Cricetulus griseus: one gene and its partners. The protein of the gene in region 7 interacts with the protein of the main gene of each other region in a biochemical or structural test. Links are inferred from orthologs where the notes say so. Each region holds a gene or a part of one and is shown on either strand. Other genes may lie near its edges. The genes, in order: Fus, Habp4, Fbl, Hnrnpa1, Btg2, Khdrbs1 and Prmt1.

Region 1 (3,765 bases), on a different chromosome or scaffold from region 7:
TTTTTTTCCTCTTGTTGCAAGTGGTGGACAACCCAGCAGTTGGTTTAAAAGATCTACCCCAAATTACCCAGAAGACATTTCACACCAGGCCCCTGGGATAGCCCTGAACACATTTTGTTTGTGTGGTTTTTGCTTTGAAAGCAGCAAGCAGACCCAACCCCATTCCATAAAAAGTCATAACCAAAGGCAATTTTCCCTTAGAGCAAGACAAACTCAGCTAAGCCCTAACTACTGAGCTGTTTTTGATCACCCTTTACCCCCGGGGTCACCCCTTCTACACTGTGAGAAGAGCGGAGTATTTTGCAATGTCACCTTTCATACCTGTGGCACATAAAATGCAGAGCAAGTTAACAGTCACATAACAGTTGCTTTTCTTTTTAAAGTTTTGCATTAAACACACGCACACAACTAGTTTTTTCCACTTTTCCATGTTTCTTGAGACTTCCCCCACCCACCTCTGAATACTTACCACGTACAAACTCAAAAAAAAACCTACTATTTTCCAAAAAAAGGAACATATGACTGACATTTTTTTCCCCATTCAAGGGAAGTAACAGGGTCCTTCAAAGTCACCAAGAGATTTGACAAACTGTTTTAACATCAAATCTAAGGTTTTACTTTAACAAGGAGAGATCCAGTTGGACAAGCTCATTTTAACTGACCGAGAAAAGATGGACAGTGGAATAAGAAAGCAGAGTACCACTGTCAAGTCTATTTTGCCCCAAAAGTTTGCACACTTCAGTCAGAAGACCCCATAAATGAACCAAGTCACACACAAAATCAGTCAAATTAGTGCAAATCAGGCTCACGGATTCAAGTAACTACAGAATATGGATGAGTAAATAGCCAATTCCTAGAAGCTGAGGTCAAGTTTACCATTATTACCAACTCCCCTGGAGGACACATGGGAATACACAGGACAAGTTTCCCCTAATATTTCCCAGGAATGGGATTAATAGGTTTCCCTTGCAGAGAAGTCTTTACTCCCAAGTTTTTTTTTGCCTGAGATAACAATGACAATCCACATGTATCTATGTATATTCTTTTTCTTTAGAAATAAATGAACCAATACTCAAATCTCTACTCAAGAGCTGTAAATGGGATTTTGGCTCCCAAATTCTCACAAAAACATAATAGGAATATACAAAGAAACACTACTGCCCACAAATTGAAGCCCTTACATATCCCCAGAAAACAATACTAACCATGCACTAGGGACTGACTTCAAGGGAGATCCATGCATCACTCCCCCACAGAAGGTACTCCCTGACTCACGAAACACCTACCCCATGCCGCCTCTGCCTCCTCTGCCACCTCCACGGCCTCTGGGTTCATAGCCACCACTGCTTCGGTTGTAACCACCTCCACCGCCCCTGCCACGGCCCCCACGGTCCTGCTGGCCTCCCCCGTAGCCACCACCGCCGCCACCACTCTGGTCCTGATTGCCATAGCCACCGCCGCCGCCACCACTCATGGAGGACTGATCTTGGCCATAGTTGCCTTTTAAAAAAAAAAAAAAAAGTTAGTAATAATGCTTTAAAAAAAGCTTAGCACTACTTAGCATATACAAACTTCTGTTTCAATTGTCAGCAACAAGTGAGAGGATAGGAAGTATGGAAATAAATGGTCAATGATAAAAATTAGAAACTTAGTAAACAAGAAAAGGGGCAAATTCATAGAGTAAGGAGGCAAAACTGAAGACACTTTCTCACCTCCACCACCCCCTCCACCACCTCCACTGCTGCTGTTGTATTGGTTCTGTTGTCCATAACCCTGAGGTGGGTTGTAGGAGCTTTGTTGTTGTCCATAGCTTTGCTGCTGTCCACCATAGCCAGACTGTTGGCCATAGCCTCCACTCTGGGGCTGTCCATAGCTGCTGCTCTGAGAACTGCCACCATAACTAAGTGGAAAACAAAGAAAACCAGAATTATGCTGCAAAACAGCCAAACACTTGCTTCACTTTTAGTCCATTCCCTTTCTTTACTCCTCAGAGATCAAACAATTCACCACCATTTTCTGGCCTTATTCACACCCATACTACCTTACCTTCCTGAGGTGCTGCTAGGAGCTGGCTGTTGGCCATAGCCAGGGTAGGAGGACTGTTGCCCATAAGAAGATTGGGAACTTTGGCTGCTGCCATAGCCTCCAGTGGAACCATATCCCTGGGGAGCTGACTGAGTGCCATAGCCTGCTACAAAGAAAACAGGGTTACAAATGCTATAAAGGAAAAAAAAAGCTGGGCATTGGTGGCACACACCTTTAATCCCAGCACTTGGGAGGCAAAAGCAGGCGGATCTCTGTTGGTCAGCCTGGTCTACAGAGAGAGTGCCAGGACAGGTTTCACAGCTACAGAGAAACCCTGTCTCGAAAAAACCAAAAAGATTAAAAAAAAAAAAAAAAAAGCCAGGTATAGTTGTACTCTTTAATCCCAGCATTTGGGAGACAGAGGCAGATTATCTCCCCTGATTGATGCCAAACTGGTCTACATATCCAGTTCCAGGTCAACATAAGGCGGCATGCGGCAAGGAATAACTTAAAACATTATATACCTCCCAGCACTCACCCATTACTTAAAAAGTAGGTCAGCTAGTAAGCAATTTACTGACAAAGGCCAGCTACCAGGAGACTGGGGCAGCAAGGTTAGTTTATGGCCAATCTTGGCATCTTAATGAAACTATCATTTTTTTTTAAACCGACAGGGTTTCTCTGTATTGTTTTAGAGCCTGTCTTGGAACTCGCTTGGTAGACCAGGCTGGCCTCGAACTCACAGAAATCCACCTGCCTCTGCCTCCCAAGTTTTGGGATTAAAGGCGTGTGCCACCACCGCCCTGCGCTGTGAAAGTCTTATCAACCTGGGTTCAATCACCAGAACCAGAACTATCATAAAAGTTAACCCTAGAAAGCTGTCCTTTGACCTATACATATGCAACACGTAAACAAGCATGCCTGAACTCACACAAAATAAATAAAAAATACAGAAATCATAATGACTGCCTAGTTTAAAAAAAAAAAAAACTTCTGTAGAGCCAGGCAGTAATGGCACTCGCCTTTAATCCCAGAACTCAGGATACAGAGGCAGGGAGATCGAGTTCAAGGACAGTCAAGACTACACAGAGAAATCCTGTTTTGAAAACAAAAACAAAAACTCCTCTGTAAATTTTGAAACTCACCAAATCCAGTGTTTCATGCCTACAATGTAGAACTGTTTCAAGCAGAGGAGGAGTGAGCTGGGGATGTAGCTTAGCTGACAGAGTGCTTGCTTAGTATACACAAGCTCTGGGTTTCATCTTCAGTACCATATAAACCAACTATACCTTTGATTCTAACAGTTCAAGGCCATCCCCAAATACACATGTATCTGGCCAGCCTGCCCAACATAAGACTTTGTCTCAAAACAAAAATGTCTTTAATTGGTGCTTTGATGTTGACTACCATTTTTGCTGTTTTTTTTTTTTTTTGTTTTCTGTTTTCTTTTAAACAAGGTCTATGTAGCTCAGGTTGGCCTCCACCTCAGATTAGCCTGTTTCTGCTCCCCAAATGCTGGGATGTTTTGCCTGCCTGGTGCCCTCAGAGTCCAGATGAGGGCATCAGATCCCTTGATTGGAGTTACAGTTATAAGCCATGTAGGTGCTGGAAAATGAACACAGATCCTCTGGAAGTGGAGCCAGTGTTCTTAACTGCTGCTGGGCCATCTCTCCACACACCCACACAACCCCTCCCCGGCTTTTCATTTTGGTTTCTCAAGACAAGGTTTCTCTGTGTAGC
Region 2 (3,765 bases), on a different chromosome or scaffold from region 7:
CAAGGACCAAAGACCAAACTAGTTGCATCAACAGATCTCTGCTGCCAGGGAAGATGAATTTTATGTGATTTGAGGAATTGGCTTCTATCTTTACCTGTTTCCCAGCCTTACAGCACAGTGGTTTCTCAGGAAGCTTTATTCCTAATGTTCACAACAGAAAAGAATAACAACAAAAAGACATGCTACCTACATGCTGCTGCTAGCTCTGGCCTCTCATGTCTATAAAAACTGTCTTTGGTCGAATATCTCAAAACTTATTAGTAAAGTGTTTTAGACCATGAGTTGACCAAAACAGGAGGCTGAGTGGACATAATGTGTCACCAACAGCATTCTAAATAAAGTACTCAGAAAATATAACTGACCAAAATGCGCATGAAACACAGACAAAATTACGGTGTTCTGAACTTTGACTGGCAGTCAACAAATCATATTCAGCAGGGAATATGATTTTGCTCATCACCACAATCTGCACTGTTTCGTGCTGTGACTTGAACAACAGGAATCCTGAATTCTACACCTGACACTTCAGTGTTCCTTGTAAGTTCACTAACTAAAGAAGAATGAAGTGATCAGCCTTGTCATTACCCACTGATATTTCCCTGGTCATCTCTGTCCAGGCATCTGGTAAAAACCCCCATGCTGGGTTGGGGAGATACAGCTATGTATAGTGGAGTGATACGTACATGAGCAAGTGTGCATACATACACACACACACACACACACACACACACACACACAGAGAGAGAGAGAGAGAGAGAGAGAGAGAGAGAGAGAGAGAGAGCATGAAGAATAAGGCCTGTGCAACACACAAGACCTGAATAATGCCCTCAGACTATGCCATGAGCAATCTAGGAAATTCTCAGCAATTTCTGGAATACAGTAACAAGGGGATCACAGAATGTAGGTTCCCAGGTATTGTTTCAAGGGATCTACTGACCCAATGGAATACTCATTATGAATGAGAGTGAAAGATAAGGATCATGGTAGTCCATACCTCTAATCCTGGCCTTCAGGGCACAGAAGCAGGAGGATGGAGAGCCAGGTTACATACAAAAGACTCTGTCTAAAACAAAAGAACCTGAGAGGATGGCAATCTAATCATCAAAATACAGTCAGTGACCTTTGAAACAGCTGCTGAGCCTCTCTCATAAAGAGACCAAGGTGAGCAGAACCCTCTGCACCTGTGTCTTCAGTATTGTCAAGGCACCAAGTTCTGTTCCTTTCCATGATGCTTGAGCAGAAACAACAAGAACGCTAAGTGGAAGGCTAGCAAGATGGCTAAGTGGGCACTAACGCCTGATGACTTCAGTTTTTTGGTTTTTTTTTGTTTTGTTTTTTCGAGACTGGGTTTCTCTGTGGCTTTGGAATCTGTCCTGGAACTAGCTCTTGTAGACCAGGATGGTCTCGAACTCACAGAGATCCACCTGCCTCTGCCTCCCGAGTGCTGGGATTAAAGGCATGCGCCACCACCGCCTGGCTGATGACTTCAGTTTTATTCCTGAGAACCACAAGTTCTCCTCAGGCCTCCACATGCACACCCCAACACAAAATAAATGTTTGGTTTTTTTTTGAGGGAAGTAGCAAGGTTCTGTTTTCACATCCCTGAGAGAGGTCTGTTTTGTGCCCAATGAGGTCAACAATACAGAAGTCTTACATCGTCTCTGTATCTGGACTTGTGAATCACCACTGCCTTGGAAGGAACTGTGGACTCCGGCTTCCGGATGTTGAACTCAGGCTTTGGTCTGGTTTGCTCTTGAAGGTTTTTCCACTCATCTAAGGTCATCTCATGGACTTGATTTTCCTCTTCTACCTCCAACTCAGGAGCTCTGTAATGGCACATTAAAACAAATTTTTTTGGCCAATGGGACCAAATGTCTATGGAAAAAAAAGTTATACTTTTGTAGTATTGCATCGGAAATGTAAATAGGGTTAAAAGTAGCCCAAGCCCTCAGAGTCACATCTTCTGAGTTTTAGCTTTACCATCCTGTCCTTCATTGAAAACTGAAGACAGATGAAAATGATGTCATCGCCCCATGACATTTCCATTAATTATACCATCATGCACCTTTCCTGAAGGTAGATGGACAGAAGTCTTAAAACAATGGGTCACAAAAATATCCCCTACAGTTGGTTCTAAAAGCAAATGGATATTATTTCAGACTCCCTCCAAGACCATGCTCCAAACCTCATTATATATTTCCATATTTTCCTGAAAATTTCATCACAATCTGTTGAAAATTGTTCATGTTTTTTTTACTCTCTTCTATGACTCAGTTTTGAGTGAGGTTTTTAGTGTAGACTTTTTGGAATGCTCTAAGTGGAGCATTCCAAATGCTCAGGGGCTCACATGTGTTAAGCAAGTGTTCTATCCCCATCCTAGCTAAACGTTTCAAATGTTTAAAGCCAGATGTTTAAAACCCAGTTTTAAATGTTTGAAGCAGGCAAGCAGATGGCTTGTTCTGCAAGCACAAGGACCTAAGTCCAAATCCTCAGCACCTACAGCACCAGTTCCAGGGGATCTTGTACCCTCTTCTGGCTTCCAAAAGAACTGCATGCACATACACAAAAACAAACAAACATGATGGGGTATGTACTGTGTATGTTTATCTTATTGATTGTTGAATAAAATACTGTTTGGCCAATGAGACAGCAAAGTTAGATGGGACTAGGAATCAAAGAGGATTCTGGGAAATGTAGTAGAGAAGTGGTGATCCAGGCAGGAAGTGACATAGCAAGGAGACTCATATTTAAGCGAAGGAGAAACAGGAAGCATCCCTTTTTCCCGTTCGCCTCCTCCAGCGGCAGGATGTGAGCCACCGGCAAGGAGGGACGCCAATAAGGCATCTGATAAGATAAGTCTTACAACATATATAGATTTATGATAATTAAGACTGAGCTAACAGATGAGAATCCTAGTCATTGGCCAAGCAGCTTTGTACCTAATACAAGTTTCTGTGTATTCATTTGGGCCTAACTTTGGTGGGCGGCTGACATAAAGCTCACACATGGCAGTGGGGCTCAGGCAGCTTTTGGCAGAAAGATTTATCGCAACACAAACAAACAAACAAAAAACTTTTCAAATGTTCAGTATCATTAGTCATCAGAGAAAGGTGGCTCAAACCACAAGGAGTTACACCAGTCCACATCCAATAGGACAGCTAGTATCAAAAAGGCACTTAGGCTGGAGAAATGGTTCATCAGTTAAGAGCACTTCCGGCTCTTGTAGAAAACCTGGGTTTGGCTCTTAGCAACCATTTGGTGGCTTACAACAACCAGCTATGGCTTAATTCAAGGGGATCCAATGCTCCTTTTTGGACCCCATGGGCTCCAGGCACTCATGTGGTACATATACATACATGTATACATACATGCAGGTGAAGCACTCATACATATAAAAATTCTGTTTTAGGAAGAACAAAAGGAAAAAAGGTGTCTTTAGAGGCTAACAGGTATTAACAAGGATGTCAAAAATTAGAGCCCAGGTATATTGCTGGGGGAATGTGATGTGTCAATTTAGGAAACAGTCTGGTGGGTCTTCAAAATATTAGAATCTGGTATGGTGGCACACGCCTTTAATCCCAGCACTCCGGAGGCAGGGGCAGGTGGATATCTGTGAGTTTGAGGCTAGCCTGGTCTACAAAGTGAGTTCCAGGACAGCTGGGGATACATAGCAAGTTCCAAGACAGACTACATCGAGAGATCTTCTCTCAAAAAAAAATTTTTTTTCTGACACAGTTTATATGACCCAGAAATTTGATACCTGAA
Region 3 (4,248 bases), on a different chromosome or scaffold from region 7:
ATGGGCTTCTGATGCAACGGTACAGACTCTACCCACTGTGCCCTCGCCTTGTTTTCTTGTCATATGCCATTCAATTCTGGCACTCTCGCTGGCCCTCACAAGTTCCAAATGCACAACGAATTGTAAGATTCTGGTTACCAAAATACCCCAGCTCCCTGGACAACATGAAGCTCAATAAACATCAGCAAGTGTCCGGCCATCTCCCCAGAGGCTGGTGATTGGGGGGAGGGGTGGGGGAGGCGAGTCGTGAGGATGGCCACGCCATTGTCACCCAGGACCCTATCGGGGAAGGTGCATGGGAGTCTGTTGTAAAATCACATGACTTTGTATGCACACAGAGTATATAGGATAACGGAGCCTGGCAAGTTGTGGGTGTCTTCCTGGAGAGCAGTGGGCCGGGGGGGGGGGGGGGGGGGGGGGGGGCCTCTCAGCCCCAGATACTCAACATGTCTCTTGGTCTATTTCAGGTCCTGGAGTTTTTAGGAAAATGAACAAAAAAGACTCCATTACTCAAAGAGATGGCATGCCCACAATCTTCCCTCTAGTAGCTTTCCAGCAGAGCGAGGTATCACCTGCCCGCAATCCCACCGCTTGGGGAGGGTGAGTTTGAGGTCAGCCTAGGCTATACAACAAGATCCCAGTTCAAAACACAAACATAAAAACAACAAATGGCCTTGTTTAAAAATGCCCACCAGATTCTACAGCACACGTCTGCTTAAAAGTCTCCCCCAGCGAACTCTTGCTCCCCAGACTGACAGCTGGGAAACCAGCATGGGACTGATCCAGACCCCAGGAACATGGGTTTCAGTGGGAGACCTCAGAAATCTACAGGACCTCCTGTGGTAGTTCAGTACTTATCCCTAGCATACGTGTGGACTTTGGGAGCCCATTCCACATAGAGGGACACTCCCTGAGCCAAGACACACTGGGGTGGGCCTAGGCCCTATCCCAAAGGATATGATAGACTCTGATGACACCCTAAGGAAGGCCTCACCATCCAGGGGGAGCAGAAAGGATATGTAATAGATAGGGTTTTAGTGGGGGGGGGGTGGCAGGGGAGGAGGGAGGGAGAAGGGAAACTGGGATTGTCATATAAAACAATCTTGTTTCTAATTCAAATTAAAAAAAACTGAAAAAAAAATCTCCCCCAGCTGGTAATGGTGGCACAGGTCTTTAATCCCAGCACTGGGGGGAGAAGAAGCAAGAGGATCTCTGAGAGTTGGAGGCCAGCCTGGTCTACAAAGCAAATTCCAGGACATCGAGGGTGGTTACACAGAGAAACCCCATCTAACTCAAAGAACCAAAAAACAACAACAAAAAAAAGCAAAAAACAAACAAAAACAACAAAAGGATTCCTCCAAAGCTGGTTCTGTCATCCAAGACAAACTGTCACCACACAACTTCTTCCATCATTTGGTAGAGAAAGGTTGGAGGGAAAAGTCCTCCTGGGGCGGGGTGGGGGGAATCACAGAGCACAGGATAGCCGTAGAACACACAGCAATCCCTCCACCCTCCTTCGCTTCGCCAGACTTCCCCAACGGGGGGGGGTGGGGGGGGGATCCCAGAAATTCTATTCAACATGCTTGGGAGGGGAAGATGGGTCACTATACCCTGCACTGGCTCTCATCCGTCTACAGGAACATGTGGGCGCACGCCAGGCAAAAACCTGCCATTAGCGAAAACTGATCCTTGGGCACCGGTGCAAAGCTCATGCTATCATTACTGTAGCACACGCTGGTGTCAAACTCCTCACCCACCTACCCCAGCTTCCCGAGTACCGGGACTGACAAGCATGGGCTGCCACAGCCCGGAGTCACACATTACCAAAACAAAACAAAAAGCCACTTAAGCATTAAGAATCTGAGAAAGAAGCCGGGCGTTGGTGGTGCGCACAACTTTAATCTCAGCACTCGGGAGGCAGAGGCAGGAGGACCTCTGTGCGTTCGAGACCAGCCTGGTCTACAAGAGCTAGTTCCAGGACAGCCTCCAAAGCCACAGGGAAACCCAATCTCGGAAAAAAACCAAATAAAAAAAAATCAGAGAAAGAAAAGAGACGCTCCTACTGTCAAAACCAGAACGCGCACCAGCGTCCACCGTGCGGTGGATTCATCCACCAGAAAAAGGGCGGGAAATAAAGGAAACATTTTTGTCCCGCCGGGCGGCGGTGGCGCCCGCCTTAAATCCCAGCAATCGGGGGAGGCAGAGGCACTGGCGGATCTCTGAGTTCGAGGCCAGCCTGGTCTCCAGAGTGAGTTCCAAGGCCAGCCAGCGTCTCCTAGCGAGACGCAGTCTCAAAAAACTCAGACCAACACCAACCGCTCTCACTTCTGATCGCCCTGCCGGCTAAGGCCAGGCTTGCAAAGCGTCTCGCGGCGCCGAGCAGGGGCTCCCGACCCCCCGATCGTCAGCTCCTCCGGGGCTAGGACCCCGCCCCTCCCGGAAGCGCAGCGGGCGAGCGAGGGAGAGAGAGGGCGAGCCGCGCACGCGATCGCCGCGCAGCACCGCCCCGGAGGTCCTCACTCGTCCCCCCTGGGGCAGCGGTGACAGCGGGAAGAGGGAAGCACGCGATCCGGAGCCGTCCCACCTACGATCCAAGCCGGGTGCCCCTCTCTCCCCCGCCCCGCCCCGGAGCCGGGGTCAGGAGGGCCGGGATGCAGCGGCGAGGCTGCAGGCCGGTCTGTGCGGTCACACTCCCCGGCTCCCGAGCAGCCCCCGGCCGCCCTCCCTCCCTCCCTCCGTCCGTCCGTCCCGCCGCGGTGCCCGGAGCCCCGCTCCAGCCCGTGCCGCCGCCGCCGCCGCTACCTGGCTTCATCGCTGCGTCCCTCCCGGCCGCGCGGCTCCCGCAATCAGCAGCGTCCCCGGACTCCACGCGTCTCCGGCGCTCGCACGTGGAGAGGAGCGCATGCGCGGGGCGACGCGCGGCGCGTGACGGCAGCGCGTGGCCCCGCCCCCGCTCCCCTCTCCCGGAAGTGCCGTGCCTTGGGCGGGAATTCTGCAATCTCTGCGGGCTTCCCTCGCCCGCCCCGCCGCGGCGGCTTTTTCGCTCTAAGAGTCAGGGGTTGGTTATACTCGAACCGTGGTTTATTTTATTTTTTTTTCTCGAAGGTTTGCTTATTATTTTTTTTTTACACTTTAGCCCCGGAGGCGTTCCGGCGGCACGCCGCGTTGTCTGTGCACCACGCGCGTGCTGTGCAGAAGAGGGAGGGCGGGAGGGCAGCGGATCCCCCCTGGAGCTGCAGTTGCAGGCGGGGGTGGGACCCGATCCTGCGTCTTCTGCAAGAGCAGCGTGTGCTCGTTTTGCAGCGAGGCCCGGGCCCGCCCGGAACTTGAAGATCTCTGGGTCTCCAGGCTGCGCATATGCGTTTCCAACCCCCTCTCCCCCCCCCCATTTGCTCCTCACTACCCCTGCTCCCTACCCCTGGCCTGTTTCTGGAAATCTTCAGTCACCCTAATGTCGCTGCAGCTGCCTCTAAATTCACTGCCCGGCTGTCAGCGTCCTGGCTACTGCTGCTTGGCCGGTGGTTCTGCCGTCTGTCCCTCTGCGCGCCATGGATCCCGCCCCCTCTATGATAAAGATCCCATCGGTGGAGCAAAGGAGTTTGCACAAGGCCCGGGGTTAGTGTTGCACCACCAGGGGGCAGCACGGGAGCCACCTGGTCTCCAGGAAAATAGTCCCAAAGAGCCACATCAGGGCTACTGAAAAGACCCCATTTGCACCAACACCAGGCTTTTTGTTGCCTTATCAGGCAAAGGGTTTACCCTTGGGCCTGGGTGAAATGGCCGCTGAGGTTTACAGAGGCTTCTGATGGCAAAAAAAAAGCCGTGTAAATAGGCAACAGTCAGGGCTAGAATAGTGCCTGCTCCAGCAGGAGTTGTCTTTCAGAATTAAGTGGTTGTAGACGTGTAGCTTCCAGGAGGTGTCTGTGGAGCATCCAGGAGCTTCCAGGTTGCTATGACAACAGGCCAGGTGGATGCCAAGAGGGGGCTGCTTGGATGGTAGTCATGACAGCCAAATGCCAGGGAAGGGCTGGATGGATGGTTGTCAGGGTCACCCTAGCCTCCAACATACTCTCTTTCCTTTTTAAAGACAAAATAAGCCTTAAAGGGAATTCTCTTTTTTTTGTTGTTGTTGTTTGTTTTGTTTTTCGAGACAGGGTTTCTCTATATAGCTTTGGAGCCAGTCCTGGCACTCGCTCCGGAGACCAGGCTGGCCTCGAACTCCCAGAGATCTGCCTGCCTCTGCCTCCT
Region 4 (4,564 bases), on a different chromosome or scaffold from region 7:
TGAATGATGGGGAGAAGCACATGGTGACTGGAAACAAGCAAACAAACAAAAGAACCAAATGTGTCCATTTTTTTTATTAAGCCTTTCATTATTCCATTAATGGCAATCACCCCTCAAATATCAGACATACAAACAGGCCTCTACCCCACTGTGTCAATAGAAGCAATACACTTCGACCTGTAGCTCTCGAAAACTTTTTCTGTGGCCATAGAAATACAGATGTGTCCCTGGACACCGGTGGTAGAGGTAAGTCTATTTTTCTCGGAAGCTTTCCATTACAATACTTATGTAGCCATTTCAACCTAAAACTTTAATTAAATGTTTTCCTTTAAGAATTTTCAAAAACTAAAGCCTCCCTCCCTAAGTTCTTCAAAATATCAAGTGAAGGGATCTAAAAGAGCAAGAAAAATGCCAAACTAGAGGGGAACAAGAAAACATGCTTTCGTTAAGGTGATGTAGGGAATGATTGCCTCCACTATAGGAGTCATTGTAGATAAAATATGCACCCCTACAATTCCCTCTGAAGGCAAGATGCCTCTCTTTCAAGGAATCTCTCCATTTACTTGATCCAGGTTTGGTCCATGGATTTAACCTCCCGACTCCCGCGCTCCCCACTGGAGTCCAGCCTCTGCCGCTTGGAGAAGGCCGGCCTATCGCGCGCTTGGAGCTCATTGGCTCTGAGAGACGCCACTCGGGCGGGAAAAGCCCGCCTCCCGCATTCGGATGGCCCAAGGGCCGATCCGTAGGCAGCTATAGGAAGACCCAATTGGCCTATACACTCGTCAGTCAAACGCTCTGGTAGCGCAGCCCAAAAGGACCTGGCAGAATTAAAACATCCCGCCCCCGTTCTCCCATTGGCTGGCCCGACCCATCGCGGCCCCTTCACTGTCGCTCCCCCAAGTCCAGCGGGGCCCATTCATTTCGTACAATAACGAGTCCAATTGGAGCGGGTCCAGGAACTCCCACGGTTAGTCAAGACTCTGCCACTTACCCGGGATCTACAGTGACCACTCACACTAAGGCCTGCGCGGTTCCTCTGTGGTAAAGCTGCACCACAAGCCACCCGCTACCGCCGCCTTCTGCGCAACGCCAGCCGCCCGCCAAAACGGATCCTTTCCCTGCGCCTGCGCAACCAATCCTGGGCCCAGACCTTTTCTCCGCCCAAAACGCCTGCGCAAAGCAGGACGCAGCTCCCGCCAGTACGCAGGCGCCTTAGGTTCACCGCCCTCTCCCGCCCGCCGCCCGCCATTTCACGTGTTCAGTAGGCGAGCGGAACTCCTTAGTGCGCCGGCGTAAACTCGCCATTTTTATTACACATGCGCTCTCCGGGCAGTGGCTGCAAAAGTGGTAGCGAACTACTTTTCCTAACGTGTCGTGTTTTGCCAAGTGAGGTTATAATGTTCGGACGCTGGGAAGTTATGCAAGGCGTTTAAAGACATGGGTACATTCAAATATAAACCACTGGTTAGCTAGTCAATCAACCTGGTTAAAAAAAAAATCCCCCAGAGCGTCGATGACTCCGAAGGGCGGAGACTGCGTAGAACGCCCCAGCAGATGCCATCTCTTAGCAGGGCGGATCCACAGACCTAGAGTGGGCGGGAACAATTCCAGATCTCCAATCAGAGTAAGGCCAGGGCGGAGTCTACCAATGCCGAAAGCGAGGAGGCGGGATAAAAAGGCGAGCCGAAGGTAGGCTGGCGGATACGTTCGTTGACTTACTCCTTTCTGCCTGTTGACGCGGCGGAGGAAGCATCGCTGAAGGCTCTCGTTTCCCTGCCGTCATGTCTAAGTCGGAGGTGAGTTGTGCGCGCTCTGCGGCTTCGTTTCCTTCCATACGCAATGAACAGGACGGGATGCGACCTATTTTTCTGGCTGGCACCCATGCTTTCGGTGTTTGATCGGTCGTTGCCGAGGCCTGCTCACAAAGTGCAGGTCGCCATTTTGTCCTCGTAGTCGCCATGAGGCTGCCGTCCGCTAACCGCTAGTTTCCACACTCGGCTCCTAGTGGCAGAATTCACAGATATGCGACCTTGGGGGTTGTGGCTCTTTTTATTTTCTTTCTTGGCTTTGCCTAACTAACGTCTGCTAAGGCTTCAGTAAGTTTTAATGGCGATTGACCAGTCCAGCCCGTGTCTTTTGTTGCGCGTGCGTATAGAGTAGGGACGCATGCGCTGCATGCTAGTCCTCCCCCCCACGCCCCAACAGCACCTCCTGGCCCAGAGAGGAGCACGTGGTCTTGTGCTGTAATAAAGAACAATAAAAAAGTGCGGCCTATGTTGATGCGTGGAGTTGATCCATTCGCTCAAGTTCCAGCCCCTTAGCTAACGGCTCTCCTTTGATCCGATTCAGTCACCCAAGGAGCCGGAACAGCTGCGGAAGCTCTTCATTGGAGGGCTGAGCTTCGAAACAACCGACGAGAGTCTGAGAAGCCATTTTGAGCAATGGGGAACACTCACCGACTGTGTGGTAAGATTAGAAGGAACAAAAGGCGGGGCTGGTTTAATTTTATTGCTTTAATCATGCCGCACTTCTTACCCAGATGCTTTGTGAAGGTAATTAATGGTATAATTTTAAAAGGATCTTTGTTTGGGGGCCTTATGCTTGAGTCTAAATGGAGTTTTATGCTGGACATGTTCAGAGTTGGAATGGCCTCAGGTCCTGATATCAGGCAATATGTTGATTGAATTAACTCTATAAACAGGTAATGAGAGATCCAAATACGAAGCGATCCAGGGGCTTTGGTTTTGTCACGTACGCTACTGTGGAAGAAGTAGATGCCGCTATGAATGCAAGGCCACACAAGGTGGATGGCAGAGTTGTGGAACCTAAGAGAGCTGTTTCAAGAGAAGTGAGTGTTATTATGCTAATAGTTGGGTTCTCTTTTATCTAGACGCCAGATAGACCCCTAGAGTGCTGGGATTAAAGGCGTGGGCCACCACAGCTGCCAATCATTTGAAATGTACTAATAATGACTGCATCATTTTCCTTTTAGGATTCTCAAAGACCAGGGGCCCACTTAACTGTGAAAAAGATCTTTGTTGGTGGTATTAAAGAGGACACTGAAGAACATCACCTTCGTGATTATTTTGAGCAGTATGGGAAGATTGAAGTGATTGAAATCATGACGGACAGAGGCAGTGGGAAAAAAAGAGGGTTTGCTTTTGTCACCTTTGATGACCATGACTCTGTGGACAAGATTGTTAGTAAGTGTCAGATAATTAGATTTCTCTCCTCCTCCTCCCTCCCCCACAAACTGGGAATATTCTGTAGCTTTGGGTCCTTTCCTGGAAATGAGACCCGCCCTCAAACTCAGATGGCCTGTCTCTGCCTCCTGAATGCTGGGATTTATGGGGTGTTCCACCCCCCAGCCAGATTACATTTTTCTTTTGGGTGGATTCGAGACAGGGTTTCTCTGGCTTTAAAGGCTGTCCTGGAACTAGCTCATGTAGACCAGGCTGGTCTGAAGCTCAGAGATCTGCCTGCCTCTGCCTCCTGAGTGCTGGGATTAAAGGCGTGGGCCACCAACACCCATCGTGCTCAGATTTCTTAATGACTGGGACTCAGTGTGTTTAAAGCCCTAAAGTTAACTTTTTTTTTTTAAGTTCAGAAATACCATACTGTGAATGGCCACAACTGTGAAGTGAGAAAAGCCCTGTCAAAGCAAGAGATGGCCAGTGCTTCATCCAGCCAAAGAGGTATCTCTTGCTTAGTTAGAACTTGCAGAGGGTAGTTGGGTTGTTGCTGCAAGTTGGTCTAATGTAATGATCCAAACATCTCTTAAGGTCGAAGTGGTTCCGGAAACTTTGGTGGTGGTCGTGGAGGTGGTTTTGGCGGCAATGACAACTTTGGTCGAGGGGGAAACTTCAGTGGTCGAGGTGTGTACCTTTTGGATTTCTTAATTGCTTTTGGAACGATGGATAACTGCTAGTCTTTGTTTATAGCATTTAGATTTTACCCAAAACATAAGTTTTCGTTACACAGAGATTAGCATTTGCTTCATTCATATACCTAAAGCTCTGGTTTCTTACAGGTGGCTTCGGTGGTAGCCGTGGTGGTGGTGGATATGGTGGCAGTGGGGATGGCTATAATGGATTTGGTAATGACGGTAAGTTTCTTAAGGAATCCGTAAGTAAAATTTCTAGCAACCTATACCTTTAGACTAGGCTAGTAGACACTAAACCTAGTGCATGACAAAATCAACCAGCCCCGTAATACGCATGCTGTGAGCAGGCCATTAGTCATTACACTTGCATAGATTTTTATTGTTAAATACTTTTGTCTTATTGAGAAGGCTTGTATTCTTGTAGGTGGTTATGGAGGAGGCGGCCCTGGTTACTCTGGAGGAAGCAGAGGCTATGGAAGTGGTGGACAGGGTTATGGAAACCAGGGCAGTGGCTATGGCGGGAGTGGCAGCTATGACAGCTATAACAACGGAGGAGGCGGAGGCGGCTTTGGCGGTGGTAGTGGTAGGTATCCAGTGATGCAAGTACTTGGTGTGATAGCTAGATTAGCCTTAGTTTATACTCCTGTGGACTTTAAAGCTCTTAAAGCATTGTGGGTACAC
Region 5 (4,427 bases), on a different chromosome or scaffold from region 7:
GCAGCCCTACACAAAACCAGCTAGTGCACAGGCACTCTCTCTGCAGCCTAGAAAGATCTCTGCAAGACCCACCGGCCAGCCAGAACCCACCAGGGCGCCAGGAGGGGCTAGGAGGCCCAGTCTCAGAATTTCCTGGGACTATTGCACAGTGATTGAGAACTCCTGTCCTAGGAAATGGGGCCCTCCAGGACCCAATCACATGAAAGAGGGGAGCGGGGAACAGGAGTCTTGAGGAGAAGGCAGTAAGAAAGGACCCGGAGTTCCCTGGAGCTTTGAGCCACCTCTCAAAGGAATAATGGTAGCAGCATTCGGACTTTCATGTGGTTCCCAAAAGCAGGGTTTAGGAAAAGGGAGGGAGAGAACCATCCCTCTTTGGGTCCCAAAATTCCATTGCAAATCACCCCTAAATTATTTGCCATCCATCCATACAAAGCAGTGCAGCACAGAGCAGAGCAAAGGTTTTGTGTGGTTCCCTCCATCTATACCCAAGTCTTTGCACACCTGCCTTACATCCCACCCTCCAAATATGTTCATATAGATTCCTGGCTGGGAAACAGCCTTTCCAGGTCCCCAAGGGTAGACTCAGGAATGAGACAAGATTTCAAGAGAACCTGCTCAGAACAGAAGGAACAGGAGAGGTCGTTCACTCTACCCAGGGTCTCAGCAGAAACACAAAAGAAGATTAGGCAATGTAGTATTATTTAAGACCAGGCTTGAATGCCCCTGAGTAAGAGAGGAACCAGGCATCCAGGCATCCAGGCATCCAGGCATCCCAGGAAAGATCCTGACCCCTCTCATTCACAGTTGCTAACCTTCCTTGCTCCCTTTTACCACCTCCTGGGGGATCAGCCAAGAATCCCCCTTTACCTTGGCTAGGCCAATCCCCAAACCACTCCTCTAGGCAAACACTGGCTCACAAATTCAATAACAGTTCTTTCCAAAGGCACCTGGGGAGGCCACTTCCAAGCAGCTCCCTTTAAGGATTTTTTTTTCTTTAAAAAAAAAAATCTTTTGGTTTTTTTTTCTCCTCTTTTCTTAAAAAAAAATAACATGTATAAATAGCTCTTCATTTAAAAATACAGTTCCCCAGGTTGAGGTATACGGTGGCCTGTTGTCACGGCAGCATGAGTACAGTAGAGTGCCCGGGTAGGGTGGCTCCTATTTAGCTGGAGACAGCCATCACATAGTTCTTCGAGGGGCTGCTCCTGCCCAGCATCATTTGGTTCTTGCAAGTGAGGAGCCCATAGGAGGCAGCGACCGGGGCCTCCTCGTACAGGACACAGATGGAACCGTCCTCACCGATTCGGTAGGACACTTCATAGGGATCAACCCACAGGGTCAGCTCACTGGGCAGCAGCCGATGTAGCTGGGGCTGGCTGAGTCCAATCTGGCTGGCCACCTTGCTAATGATGGGGTCCATCTTGTGGTTGATGCGGATGCAGCGATAGCCAGAGCCTTTGGATGGTTTCTCTGGAAACCAGTGGTGTTTGTAATGATCTGTGGAGGAAGGACAAGAGGGAGATGCTTTGGTTAGAAAAGTATTGTCTCTGATGTTTACCACAAGGGGAGGATGAGAGTAGAGGGCCGGGAAAAGAGGAAGGGCTCAGTGACAGTATTTCAGAGCCTCTCCTTAAACTCCCCCTGCCACTTAGAAAGATCCCTGGGCCTTTTCCAAGGACATGTACATTGGAAGGCAGCCCCAGAGCTTTCAGGTAGATGCTCTCCCGGGGGTCAGGGATATTTTTGGCACAATCCAGCTTAAGGAAGGATGGGCTAGTATGAACAGGCAGGGTCTCTGAGAACCCAGACACTGAAATTTCAAAGCCCAGTGAGCGACCAACATTGTTGGGTGTCCAGCAAGTCACCAGGCCTCCCATCCCTCCCCCACCAGAGGAATCATGAGATCTCTAGCAAAGGTAAGGGAATAAAAATGGTTTTGTTTTGATGAAACAGCTGTTGGTCCTCAGATCTGTGCCAGCATGTTGAGAGATGGCTATCGCTGCCCAAGGCAACCAACCAGCTATAACAGCTGGAGGCAGAGGCGAAAGGGCTGCTTATCACTCCTCCACCTCCCTGCCTCACACCCTGCCCTGCCTCCATAACTCGCACCCCCACCCCCACCCCCAGCAGGCTAGGCTACTGGACTCTTTTCTGTACTACAATAGGTGGCAGATGGTGAAGAGGAACCAAAAGAAATAAATACAAAGGGGGCCCAGATTACAACTTCCAGCGGGTAAACAAGCAGCAGAATGGTCCAGGACAATGGTAGGCCAAGGACTATAACAACAGTGTTTGGGACTCGAAAAGTTCAATTGCGCATAAAGTCGCATAGCTTGACCTGGCTTCGTGGCCCACAGCATCCCCCAAGGGTCTGGACTGGAGGTCTCCAAGATTCAGAGAAAGAGTTGAGTTAGGAACCTGAGCGCAGACCACTGGCTCTTTCCGTGGTGTTGTTAGGGACTCAGAATGTACTCAAGGAAGAGGGTCAGCGCCCTGGGAACGAGGCGGCGGGGACTGGAGGGCGGGGAGGCGGAGATCTAAACCAAGGGACGAAGGACAACAGGCGGCCTCGCAGATTAGAGCAAGGCATTTGAGACCAGGCGCCGCTCGCGTAGGGGTCTCCGTCCCAGAAACAGTGGGGAAAGACACCCCAGGCAAGGAGGGGCCGCTCCCCGGTGGCTTTGGGACCCCGACGTGCGCTCACCGGTCAGTGCGTCCTGGAGCGCCCTGCTGAACACCTTGAGTCTTTGCTCGCTCACGCAGCCCCGCGTCCTCAGGAGGCTGGAAAGGAAGCCGACGGCGGCGGCAATCTCCGGGAGCATGTCTGTTCTCTTCCCGTGGCTCATGCCGGGCGGCTGGGTAAGGAGCTGTAATGTCCAGACGAGGGTGGTCTGGCCGCCGCTCGGGCTCTGCCCGGACTTTCCTCCGGCTGCGCCTTTCATACCGCTCGCGGAGGCGGGGAGCCGCAGGCGGCGCCCATTGGCCGAGGCTGGCGGATGGGGGCGTGTTCTCTAGCTGCCCCGCCTCTCTTCTCCGCCGCCCCCCGCCCCCGCCCTCCCGCCTGCCTGCTCGCCCGCGCCTCCCGGGCGCTGAGGTCATCGCTCACTGACGTCAGTATTGGGAACCAGCACCGGACTCCCGAGCGGTGGAAGACGGGCGGGAGAGGGACCAGGACCTGGGCAGAGGAAGCGCGCCACACCGGGCATGCCCGGACGTCGCCTCTGCACAGTTCCAAGGCAGCGGTTGCCTGCCACCTCCTCCAGGATGTCCTCGCCGATGCTACTTCTCCCACGCCTCCCCAAAACAGACACTCTGGCGCCAGGTCATCTCTGCCACTCTCTCCCAGCTGGTCAGAACCGGCTCCTCATGTTTTCGGCAATGGGGATTGTAGTCTATTTGCTTCCATAATAATTCCACCTTACCCAACAAATTCTGCTCTTCCTCTTCAGCAATTGCCTAAAAGCAATCAGCTCTCACTGGTGTCGCAGTGGGAGGAATGTCGAGGAGAGACTTTTCTGTCCATTGGGTTATTTTTCCAGTTCTCACTTCCCTTTAAGTGGCTTTTTTTTTTTTTTTTTAAGTAGTCTGGTGTGAGCAGTACAAAGTTTTCCGTTGGCCCTCTGCTCCTCCCTCTTCACTGATTCGTCTTCCTTCCTCTTTGTGGATGAAGGCTTTTGTAAATACTATCTCCCCAGAAGAAAGGCTTTGGCTCTGGCTTCGTCTACACTTGGGGGCTCAAGGACTGGTACCAGGAAGCTAGGCAGACTATTGAATGGGCAACTTGTCACCCACACCTCTGAGCCCAGCACAGGATCTGACCTGCAATGAGACCCTGTTTGTTAAATGAACTTAGCTCCATGGCTTGTGTAAAATCCTGAGGTTGTGTGTGTGTGTGTGTGTGTGTGTGTGTGTGTGTGTGTGTGTGTGTGTGTGTTTGTTACTGAGAAGCAGCGCCCCCAGGCTTCTCTACCTGTCCCCACCAGCTTCCCTTTCTGGGTCCTTTGTGCCCTTCCCACCCTGTGTTCCCCTTCCCTTTTATTTCTGCTTCCTATCCAGAGCTCTCCCTTCTGCTATTTATTTTTCTTCAGTGAATTTCCACGTCAGTACTTCCATCTTTTTCATGCTGTCCCTCCCTGTGGATGTCTAGTGCTGCCCTCCCTGGTCTTCCTTTCAGCCAAAGCTATGATCACTACCTCTACCTCAGACCTAGTCCCAAGACTGATGCCTTCTTACCCAGTCCTGCCCCAAAAGGCCTTCCCTGGGGGAATAGAGTCCTTTTCCTAAGGACTCAGAATATGAGACAACTACTCCACTTGCTAGACTGTCTGGACTCCTTTCCCTGGCGCCTAAGACATTTCAGCATTTTGTACGACCTACCTTTGTAAGTTTCTACCACTTGGTGCTATAGGGTCCCCTTTCACTGTCTT
Region 6 (3,765 bases), on a different chromosome or scaffold from region 7:
AGAAACAGGCCAAGCCAAGGCTTATGAGCCTCTGTGTTTTTGTTTGGGAGCTGAGTGGCCAGCCCCCAAAGAGTAAAAAACCAACTACAGTAAATCTTTTGACAAAGGGCAGTGCTTTAAGGATCCAGAATGTTACTTTGGTCTTAGAGCCTGAACAAACATATGAAAAAGAAATTACTTTTGATTACTAAAAGTAATTGTTTCCTTGTTAACTACAATTATGCTATTAGTTATGGACTTTGATATCTTAACTTCCAGAAACAGGTACTTCAAGCACAGAGGAGCTTTACAGGTGGGATAACATGGCGAGCCCATATCTTCATCACCAGCCTAGAAGTTAACTCACACAAGTGAGCCGCTTTGACACTTACCTTTGGATACTGCTTGACAGGTATCAGTACCCGTTCTTTCAGCTTCATGTTCTTATGAGAAAACAAATCCAAGTAATTCTCCTCGTCATCTTTTTTTGACTCACCCTTCTGAATCTTCTCAATTTCTGAATAAGAAAAGCAGAACTTAATTTTTGTACTTGTAAATAAAGGTACCTGGCAAGACTGCTTAAAACAGTATTATGAAGTGCTGTGTAAAAAAACCAAACAGTTCAGAAGAATGTGCTAATTTTAGGCAGACTGGATGAGACACCCAAAGCTTTATGAAACTGACTGGGGGACCCGAATCCTGCTTTCCACCCTCCTCTCCTGAAGTGTCTGTGCCCTCCAGTCACATGTTTCTTGATGAGAGCACACGCATGCTGGGCAGTGGAGGAGCACACCTTTAATCCCAACAGTTAGGAGGTCAGTGAGTTAGAGGCCAGCCTGGTCTACAGAGTGAGTTCCAGCATAGCCAGGGCTACACAGAGAAAACCTGTCTCAAAAAACTAATAACACCAAACAAACAAACAAACTAGAATACATGCATTAGCCAGGAGTACCAGAATTTAGGAGATAGAAGCAAGTAGATCTCTGAGTTCAAGGCCAACATGGTCTACAAAGTAAGTTCCAGGACAGCCAGGGCTACACAGAGAAATCCTGTCCATAAATAAATAAATAAAACAAAAGAGTATGCATTTATCTAAATTAATACAGAGAGATGAGGAAAGAGAGAGAGAGAGAGAGAGAGAGAGAGAGAGAGAGAGAGAGAGAGAGAGAGAAAGAGGTAACTGGAGAGATGCCTCAGCTAATAGGGTACACACTGCTCTTCAGAAATCTTGAGTTTAGCACCCATGGCAGAGTGAATCTCAACCGCCTCTAAAGATCCAAGGATCCAAAGCAGCCTTTTGGACTGCATGAGCACTGACACTCACAAATAAAAATTAAAGCTAAAACTAAATAAATACATACCCCACACACACACACATATACATATATAAAGTCTGGGCACGGTGGCTGTTTCCAGCTAATTGACCACAACAAATTACAGACCTTTCTTCCTTCTTCAGTCCCAAAGTTTCACTTGACCAGTTAAGAGAAAGAAGTTTCCCAATAAAGAAATAAAGACTAGCCGGGCAGTGGTGGCGCACGCCTTTAGTCCCAGAAATCAGGAGGCAAAGGCAGGCGATCTCTGTGAGTTTGAGGTCAGCCTGGTCTACAGAGTGAGTTCCAGGACAGGTTCCAAAGCAATAAAGAAACCCTGTCTCGACCTCCCCCCCCCAAAAAAAACCAAAAACTAGTATTTAAATATAATAACAGACAACTCCATTACCATTCCACTATAGCAATAATAGTTGTTTTCTATTTTGTTTGAAAGACCCTGCTCTTTCTCTGTCACACAATAGCTGTCAAGTTACTTAACTGCCCTGCATATTTGCTTTCTCATCTATAAAATACAGGCAAAATTGGGGGCTGGAGAGATGGCTCAGCGGTTAAGAGCGCTGACTGCTCTTCCAGAGGTCCTGAGTTCAATTCCCAGCAACCACATGGTGGCTCACAACCATCCGTTATAAGATCTGGTGCCCTCTTCTGGTGTGCAGATATACATGGAAGCAGAATGTTGTATACATAATAATAAAATCTTTTAAATAAAAAAATAATACAGGCAAAATCAACCTATAAGGACAGTGACAATGCAGTATGCTGTGCCTGCCTGTGGTCCCCGAACTCAGGAGCCAACCAGGAGGATCACTTCAAAGTTTGAGGACAGCCAAGGTAAATGAGACCTTTCCTAAAATAAAAAAGAAAAATTTAAAAAGCCAACTAAAAAAGACAAGATCAAAGTTTATTCCTTAGTATGTGAATAATATAGTTATTATCTAGACCAAACTCAATATCCAAAACAAGAAAATACAAAAAATTTAAAAACAACAGAAGGGCTGGAGTGATGGCTCACTTGCTGCTCTTTAAAGCACCCAACGGGTTCATTTCCCAGAACCCACATGGCAGTTCACAACCACCAGTAACTCCAGTTTGAGGAGATCCAATGCCCTCTTCTGGCCTCCTTGGCTAAATACACATATGCAGGAAAAATACTCATACACAAGAATTTAAAAGAAAAACTCACTGGAAGACTGAAACAAAAATGCTGTTCATAGTATATACCACAAGAAGTCTAGAGATAAACACACACCCTAAAACCATCATAACCACCAAGGCCACAGACATAATCGGAACAAAGGTACTCTGAATTTGCAGCTTCATTAAGATGGGAACTCTTGGCTCTGCTTGCATCCCCAAGTACAGGGCTCCTCTTGCTTGCATCCCCCCTAAGTACAGGGCTCCTCTGTCATTCTTAACTACTGAGATGTAATTAGGCCCTTCAGTTGTAGCTTGTGCCACTTTGCAGAAACCTTATTTAACCAGGACAAGAAGACTCAAAAGCTGGACTGATGGTAGGAAAGTTTGTCTAAATGCAATGTAACATACTCTATAAATTTAGGGCCTCCCAATGACACAGAATTACTTTGATATATTCTGAACTATTACTGGATCTTAGAATCCTTTTCCTATTTTTCCACAATTTTTTAAAGAAAATAAAGCATTTTAGAGAATTCACAGAATGATCAATAAAACTTCAAGTTGACGTAGGGCTGGGGAGATGTGTTAGTCATTTATGCTTGATGCACAAAAAAAATGATAATAGGAATTTAACCACCCACACACACACACCCACACACACCCACCCCTGGATGAGGTGACATGTTCCTGTAATCCCAGATCTGAGGATATGAAGACAGGAGAATGGGGAATCCCTGGGCTTGCTGGCCACCAACCTAAAACAGTGAGCTCCAGGTTCAGTGAGATTATCTTAAAAAATAAGTAGCAACAGCTGGGCAGTGGTGGCGCATGCCTTAAATCCCAGCACTCTGGAGGCAGAGGCAGGCGGATCTCTGTGACCAGCCTAGTCTACAAGAGCTAGTTCTAGACAGCCTCCAAAGCCACAGAGAAACCCTGGGGGGGGGGGGGGATTAAACAAGTAGCAAGTACAATAAAAAAAATAAGATAAAGAAGCACTGAGAAAGACACAAGACATTGAACTGGTTCCACACATACATGCAAAGGAGTCAGAACAGCCTAGGAAGCAAGAGTAATAAATAACCTGAGCCTTCAACAAGGGTCAGCTTCCATATTTAGAAGTAGAAGAACTGAACATTTATTCAATACCTAACAAATATTTCCCCTCACAAAACCTCTCTAATAGGGGACTGGAGAGATGGCTCCGAGGTTAGAAGCACTGCCTACTCTTCCAGAGGTCCTGAGTTCAATTCCCAGCAACCACATGGTGGCTCACAACCATCTGTAATGAGATCTGGTGCCCCCTTCTGGCCTGCAG
Region 7 (4,443 bases):
GTAGTTTAAGGATTGAGACATTGTCCTGGGGGTGCAGGGAGGCCCAAAAAGGCCATAGGCAGAGATGAGCTGCAGGGATTGGCAGGTGGGAGCACTAGGGCTGAAGGCCTTGGGGATTGACAAAACTGACGGAGGGAATTGGAGGGAAAAGCCCAGAGGCTATTGATATTTGGGATGAAGTAGCAGGATAGGCAGGAGTCAATCAAGAAATCATACTGAACCAGGCAATGGTAGCGCACACTTTTAATCTCAGCGCTTGGGAGGCAGAGACAGGAGGATCTCCGAGTTCCAGGACAGCCAGAGAAATTCTGTCTCGAAAAAACAAAAAGAAAAATCATACTGGCTGGAAGAAGTTTACACAAGCCTTAAATCCCAGCACTTTGGAGACAAAGGCAGGCTGTACCATGAGACTCTGCCTCACACCAGATACCTTACGTGTGCAGCAGATGGTGCAGTGCTTGCCGCTCAAGACTTGACACACGCACGCACACGCACACTAAACAGTGTTAGGAGTCGGAAGGAAGAAGGTCATCTGAGCACGAGGAGGCCTGGAGTGGAGAGGCACATTTGGGAACTTAAAGGACCCTGTGCTTGGGCCGAGTACTGGTGGGACAAAAGGTAAGAGGCAGGGGCACAAACCCAGCAATTGGCATCCATCTTCAGGCCAGGAGTAACTTTCTGCAGATCCAGGGAAACTTCCTGGAGGAGATGGAGTCCAAATTGCCGCGTGGGAGTTGGCCAAACAAAGGGAGATGGGTGTTTCATGCAAAGGACTAGGAGGCCACAGGTCTTCAGAACTCGGCACAGTCCAGTACAAGGTTATGGCTCATCGCACTGACATTCACTACGACTCCTGACAAGTTTCAGGACCCCTGATGAGAACGCCTCCACATCTACTCACAGCGACTCGGCATTTTCCCCTAGCTCGCCCACGCGCCCCAGTTCCGGAGAAGCCACCGAACGTTGATGACTGATGTTCCTGGGAGCCAATCGCTTCCGCCCAAAGCCCCGCCTACCTCCTTGTGGGCCAATGGTCCCTGTCGTTCTTGGCCAGTCTCTCGAAGGGACTGGAACAAGAGCCCTGCAACGTCACGTTTTGCTCAGCTAATTGCGGCGACGGAGAGGCGGGCCATCTTAATGATCCACAGCAGAGTCTCTCGACATCCGCTTAGCGCGGAGCCCGCCGGGAAGCTTCAAGGCGGAGCTGGCCGGAAGGAGGCGGGAAGACCTGGTGGGATATCCTCCAATCATCACATGCGCTGCCTAAGATAGACAGACAGTTGTTCCCTTCCTAGCCGACAGGAGGGGGTGGTCCTTTGAACGCTAGGAGGGGAGGGCGCCCGAATTTTGATAGACGTGCTCAGCGCCCAATTGCAGTGCGAGGCGGTTAGATTGACGGCTGCGCCAGCCATTGGAAACTTATGGCGGGGTCTCGGGGGCCGGGCGGTGGACCCTCTGGTAAAAGGCGGTCCCCGGCCGGGGGGAGAGAGAAGAAAGGGGGGGGTCTCGGAGGCCGGAGGACTCGGGTGAAGATGGCGGCAGCCGAGGCCGCGAACTGCATCATGGAGGTGAGTAGCTGGGCTCTTTAGGCCAGTGGGTAGGGGGAGGACGACGGGTTACCCACGGCCTGAACTGTGGAGACGGGGCCTTGGGTGTGCTGGGCCTCGCGGAGGTCCGCATCGGGGGATGTGTTCAATCGTGACCGGGGCGACCCCAGCTTATGGGACTCTCGGACCCCGCAGTCGAGTCGAGGGCCGTCGCACGTGGTCGCGGGCCGGGGGCGCGTCCAGCCGGGCCGCACGTGGTCGCGCAGCGTAGCGTGGGGAGGGGGGTGTGCCACTCGAGGGGCCCCGCGGGTTCCACGTGCGGGACAAAGGCCCCGCCCCCGGCCCGGTGACCTGGGCTGCACTCCGGGGGTCCTGGGGGGTGCCACCTGCGTCCTGCTGTCCGCTGGGTGGTGGACATCCGTGCACCCTCGTGGGGCCTGACCTCACTTTCCTCCACTCTGAGTTACCCCTGTGCGGTTGGGGGGGGATGGGCAGAGCCCTGTGACCTCTCTGTTAGAGGATGGTGGGGCATCTCCACCGAGGAGATCCGGATCCGGCGCCGGGCACCCCCTCGTGGTCATTATGGGCTTGTGAAAGGGGCTCTTTTTCATGGGGCGTGGCCCAAAGCCCACCCCCTCATGGAAGCGCCCTCGGGTGGATGGTCAGAGGTCGGTCTTGGGGCTGGATGGCTATGTAGGCACGCAGACCAAGGGGCCTTGACCCCCACCCGACCCCTTTTTTAGGATTCTCACCTTTGCCTAATTTCCCCCCCAAAACAGAATCAAATTCTAGCACCTGGCTTATTTGCTTACAGTTGAGTGTTTCCACCCCTGAGCTGTATTCCTCAGTCCACTTTTTACTAACTTTGATGCAAAGTGGGTCTGGCCTTGAACTCACCCTGTAGCCCAGGCTGGCCTTGAACTTGCCATCTTTGCTTAAGCCTTCCGGGTAGCTCTCGTGAAAGACTTCACTACTAGGCCTGTAAATCAGATCCTCTCCTAGTCTCAGGTTTCAAACCCTCTTCAGGAAGCCGTGTGGTGGTGCATGCCTTTAATCCCAGGACTCGGGAGGCAGAGACAGGCGGATCTTTGTGTGTTCAAGGCCCATTAGAACAAGTTCCAGGACAGGCTTCAAAGCTACACAGAGAAACCCTGTCTCAAAAAAAAAAAAAAAAAAAAAAGCCAGAAACAGAACAAACCCTCTTCAGTCAGTTGTTAACCTGCTGGTATCTGTACTACTGAAAAAGAGAGGCCCACATGGGAACTCCCCCCACTGGCTACCCGACCCCTGAGGTGGTAGATCGTGGCCTCTCTGGCCTTAGATAGCAGTCATCTATCTAATGGGATAATGATGGGATATAATCTGGTGGTACCCATACCTCTTCAAGTTCTCTGGAGAGGAAGGTCAGTTGCTGGGACACCTGCCATGGGGATCAGTTCGCCTACAGTGTCACTGAAGTGACCCTGGGCCTGGCACTTGTGGACAAAGGAAAAAGAGGGCAGTTTTCAGTGTGGGGACCAAGGTGGGGTGTGAAAGGGGGGGCTTTCGTAAGCTCACACGTGGCGGTGGGGCTCAGGCGGATTTTGGCAGAAATATTTATCGTAACAGCTTGCCCCAGCTTTCCAAGGCATATTTTGTACTCCTGGGGGGCAGCCCTCTTCCGGGGGCAGGTAAAACAAAGAGCCTTGCTCTGTGTGTTCCTTGCCCGGGTGGAGCTGGGGTGGTGTACTCACTGTGGTGTGGGGGTATGCCACATTTCTCTATTGGAATGATCTTTGGCCAGGAGACAGGATTGTGATGGGGCAGACAGGTGCCCAGCACCCATTACCTGTCAGCCCCCTCCGGTTTATTCATGGCACTTCAGCCTGGTGTGTCTGTCAGGAAATGTCACCTAATCTAGGGGGGATTAGGTAGTGAAGGGGAGCAACAGCTGAAAGTGCCCATGTGCCTTGGCAGGTATTGGGCCCTCTGGCCTAGATAGGGTAGGTATGTGTGGCCAGTTATCTGACCAGAGAGGGACAACATGGGGCGGGCCACCATCTCTTCAGCCAACAGCTGGGACAGGAGACCCCACCTTCCTTTCCCTCCCCACTTGTATCCCTTCCTTACACAACTGCAGCCACACTGCTTGCTCCTGCTTACACCACTCCCATGCCCAGGAAAAGCCAACCTGCAAAACACTCACTGCCCCAAAGGCCTTCCCCAGCCACCCCAGTAGCTAACCCTTTTTCCCTGTTACTCTCTCCTAGAATTTTGTAGCCACCTTGGCTAATGGGATGAGCCTCCAGCCGCCTCTTGAAGAAGTAAATATCCTTTTGTGAGACCCCCCCAGCCCACTTGCATATAAGCATACTTTGATATGCACCTGGCTCCTCAGGAGGTCTATTCATCCTCTTGCTTCAAACCAGTTTCCCCTGCTGTGGCCCCTAAACACATAGGACAGACCCCTTCCTGGCCCAAGCTGGCTCCCCCAGAACCATGGCTGCTTCCTTAACTCCATCTCCAGCCCTCCTCCTCTGGCTTTCAATGTGTCTGCCCTGGCTCTGCCCTCCCTTCCCTCCCTCCCCAGCTGTGGGCTGAGCTAGAGACGGGCATAGAGCCTGGAGAGATGGTAGGCGAGGCGGCTGCTCCCTGGATGGTGCTCTGGGTGGGTTCTGAAGTGGATACCGTCCCTTGGGAAGAAAGATGCCGGAGGGGGCTGTAGGGCTGTCCCATTCTGAAGAGGGGCCTTCTTGCAGGTTGAGGAACCTCTGAAGAGCCCACCTGTGACCCTTTTGCTACTCCCCCTCTTTCAGGTTTCCTGTGCTCAAGCAGAAAGCAGTGAGAAGCCCAATGCTGAGGACATGACATCCAAAGACTACTACTTTGACTCCTATGCCCACTTTGGCATCCATGA

Evidence for each region.
Region 1: of the proteins of Prmt1 (region 7) and Fus, one has a biochemical effect on the other in vitro, tested with the Homo sapiens proteins (3 studies listed by BioGRID). The link is inferred for Cricetulus griseus from reciprocal best matches to the Homo sapiens genes PRMT1 and FUS.
Region 2: the proteins of Prmt1 (region 7) and Habp4 form a complex in vitro, tested with the Homo sapiens proteins (2 studies listed by BioGRID, with this or other methods). The link is inferred for Cricetulus griseus from reciprocal best matches to the Homo sapiens genes PRMT1 and HABP4.
Region 3: of the proteins of Prmt1 (region 7) and Fbl, one has a biochemical effect on the other in vitro, tested with the Homo sapiens proteins (2 studies listed by BioGRID). The link is inferred for Cricetulus griseus from reciprocal best matches to the Homo sapiens genes PRMT1 and FBL.
Region 4: of the proteins of Prmt1 (region 7) and Hnrnpa1, one has a biochemical effect on the other in vitro, tested with the Homo sapiens proteins (3 studies listed by BioGRID, with this or other methods). The link is inferred for Cricetulus griseus from reciprocal best matches to the Homo sapiens genes PRMT1 and HNRNPA1.
Region 5: the proteins of Prmt1 (region 7) and Btg2 form a complex in vitro, tested with the Homo sapiens proteins (2 studies listed by BioGRID). The link is inferred for Cricetulus griseus from reciprocal best matches to the Homo sapiens genes PRMT1 and BTG2.
Region 6: of the proteins of Prmt1 (region 7) and Khdrbs1, one has a biochemical effect on the other in vitro, tested with the Homo sapiens proteins (2 studies listed by BioGRID). The link is inferred for Cricetulus griseus from reciprocal best matches to the Homo sapiens genes PRMT1 and KHDRBS1.

The regions. Positions count from the first base shown.
Region 1 is NC_048596.1:72,802,694-72,806,458, forward strand, and holds part of Fus (RNA-binding protein FUS), read right to left. Parts: intron 2,192-3,765; coding exon 2,047-2,191; intron 1,901-2,046; coding exon 1,713-1,900; intron 1,501-1,712; coding exon 1,287-1,500; intron 1-1,286. UniProt on the Homo sapiens protein: DNA/RNA-binding protein that plays a role in various cellular processes such as transcription regulation, RNA splicing, RNA transport, DNA repair and damage response. Binds to ssRNA containing the consensus sequence 5'-AGGUAA-3'.
Region 2 is NC_048596.1:281,798,031-281,801,795, reverse strand, and holds part of Habp4 (intracellular hyaluronan-binding protein 4), read right to left. Parts: intron 1,827-3,765; coding exon 1,655-1,826; intron 1-1,654. UniProt on the Homo sapiens protein: Ribosome-binding protein that promotes ribosome hibernation, a process during which ribosomes are stabilized in an inactive state and preserved from proteasomal degradation.
Region 3 is NC_048602.1:7,928,164-7,932,411, forward strand, and holds the start of Fbl (rRNA 2'-O-methyltransferase fibrillarin), read right to left. Parts: upstream 2,950-4,248; 5' UTR 2,813-2,949; coding exon 2,803-2,812; intron 1-2,802.
Region 4 is NC_048595.1:399,611,483-399,616,046, forward strand, and holds the start of Hnrnpa1 (heterogeneous nuclear ribonucleoprotein A1), read left to right. Parts: upstream 1-1,638; 5' UTR 1,639-1,781; coding exon 1,782-1,796; intron 1,797-2,349; coding exon 2,350-2,466; intron 2,467-2,701; coding exon 2,702-2,848; intron 2,849-2,992; coding exon 2,993-3,203; intron 3,204-3,602; coding exon 3,603-3,695; intron 3,696-3,782; coding exon 3,783-3,875; intron 3,876-4,030; coding exon 4,031-4,105; intron 4,106-4,307; coding exon 4,308-4,466; intron 4,467-4,564. UniProt on the Homo sapiens protein: Involved in the packaging of pre-mRNA into hnRNP particles, transport of poly(A) mRNA from the nucleus to the cytoplasm and modulation of splice site selection.
Region 5 is NC_048598.1:55,128,025-55,132,451, reverse strand, and holds the start of Btg2 (protein BTG2), read right to left. Parts: upstream 2,941-4,427; 5' UTR 2,847-2,940; coding exon 2,705-2,846; intron 1,498-2,704; coding exon 1,163-1,497; 3' UTR 1-1,162. UniProt on the Homo sapiens protein: Anti-proliferative protein; the function is mediated by association with deadenylase subunits of the CCR4-NOT complex. Activates mRNA deadenylation in a CNOT6 and CNOT7-dependent manner. In vitro can inhibit deadenylase activity of CNOT7 and CNOT8.
Region 6 is NC_048595.1:23,290,948-23,294,712, reverse strand, and holds part of Khdrbs1 (KH domain-containing, RNA-binding, signal transduction-associated protein 1), read right to left. Parts: intron 497-3,765; coding exon 372-496; intron 1-371. UniProt on the Homo sapiens protein: Recruited and tyrosine phosphorylated by several receptor systems, for example the T-cell, leptin and insulin receptors. Once phosphorylated, functions as an adapter protein in signal transduction cascades by binding to SH2 and SH3 domain-containing proteins.
Region 7 is NC_048599.1:153,870,256-153,874,698, reverse strand, and holds the start of Prmt1 (protein arginine N-methyltransferase 1), read left to right. Parts: upstream 1-1,461; 5' UTR 1,462-1,532; coding exon 1,533-1,568; intron 1,569-3,796; coding exon 3,797-3,850; intron 3,851-4,055; exon of another isoform or gene 4,056-4,155; coding exon of another isoform or gene 4,156-4,158; intron 4,159-4,342; coding exon 4,343-4,443. UniProt on the Homo sapiens protein: Arginine methyltransferase that methylates (mono and asymmetric dimethylation) the guanidino nitrogens of arginyl residues present in proteins such as ESR1, histone H2, H3 and H4, FMR1, ILF3, HNRNPA1, HNRNPD, NFATC2IP, SUPT5H, TAF15, EWS, HABP4, SERBP1, RBM15, FOXO1, CHTOP, MAP3K5/ASK1, MICU1 and NPRL2.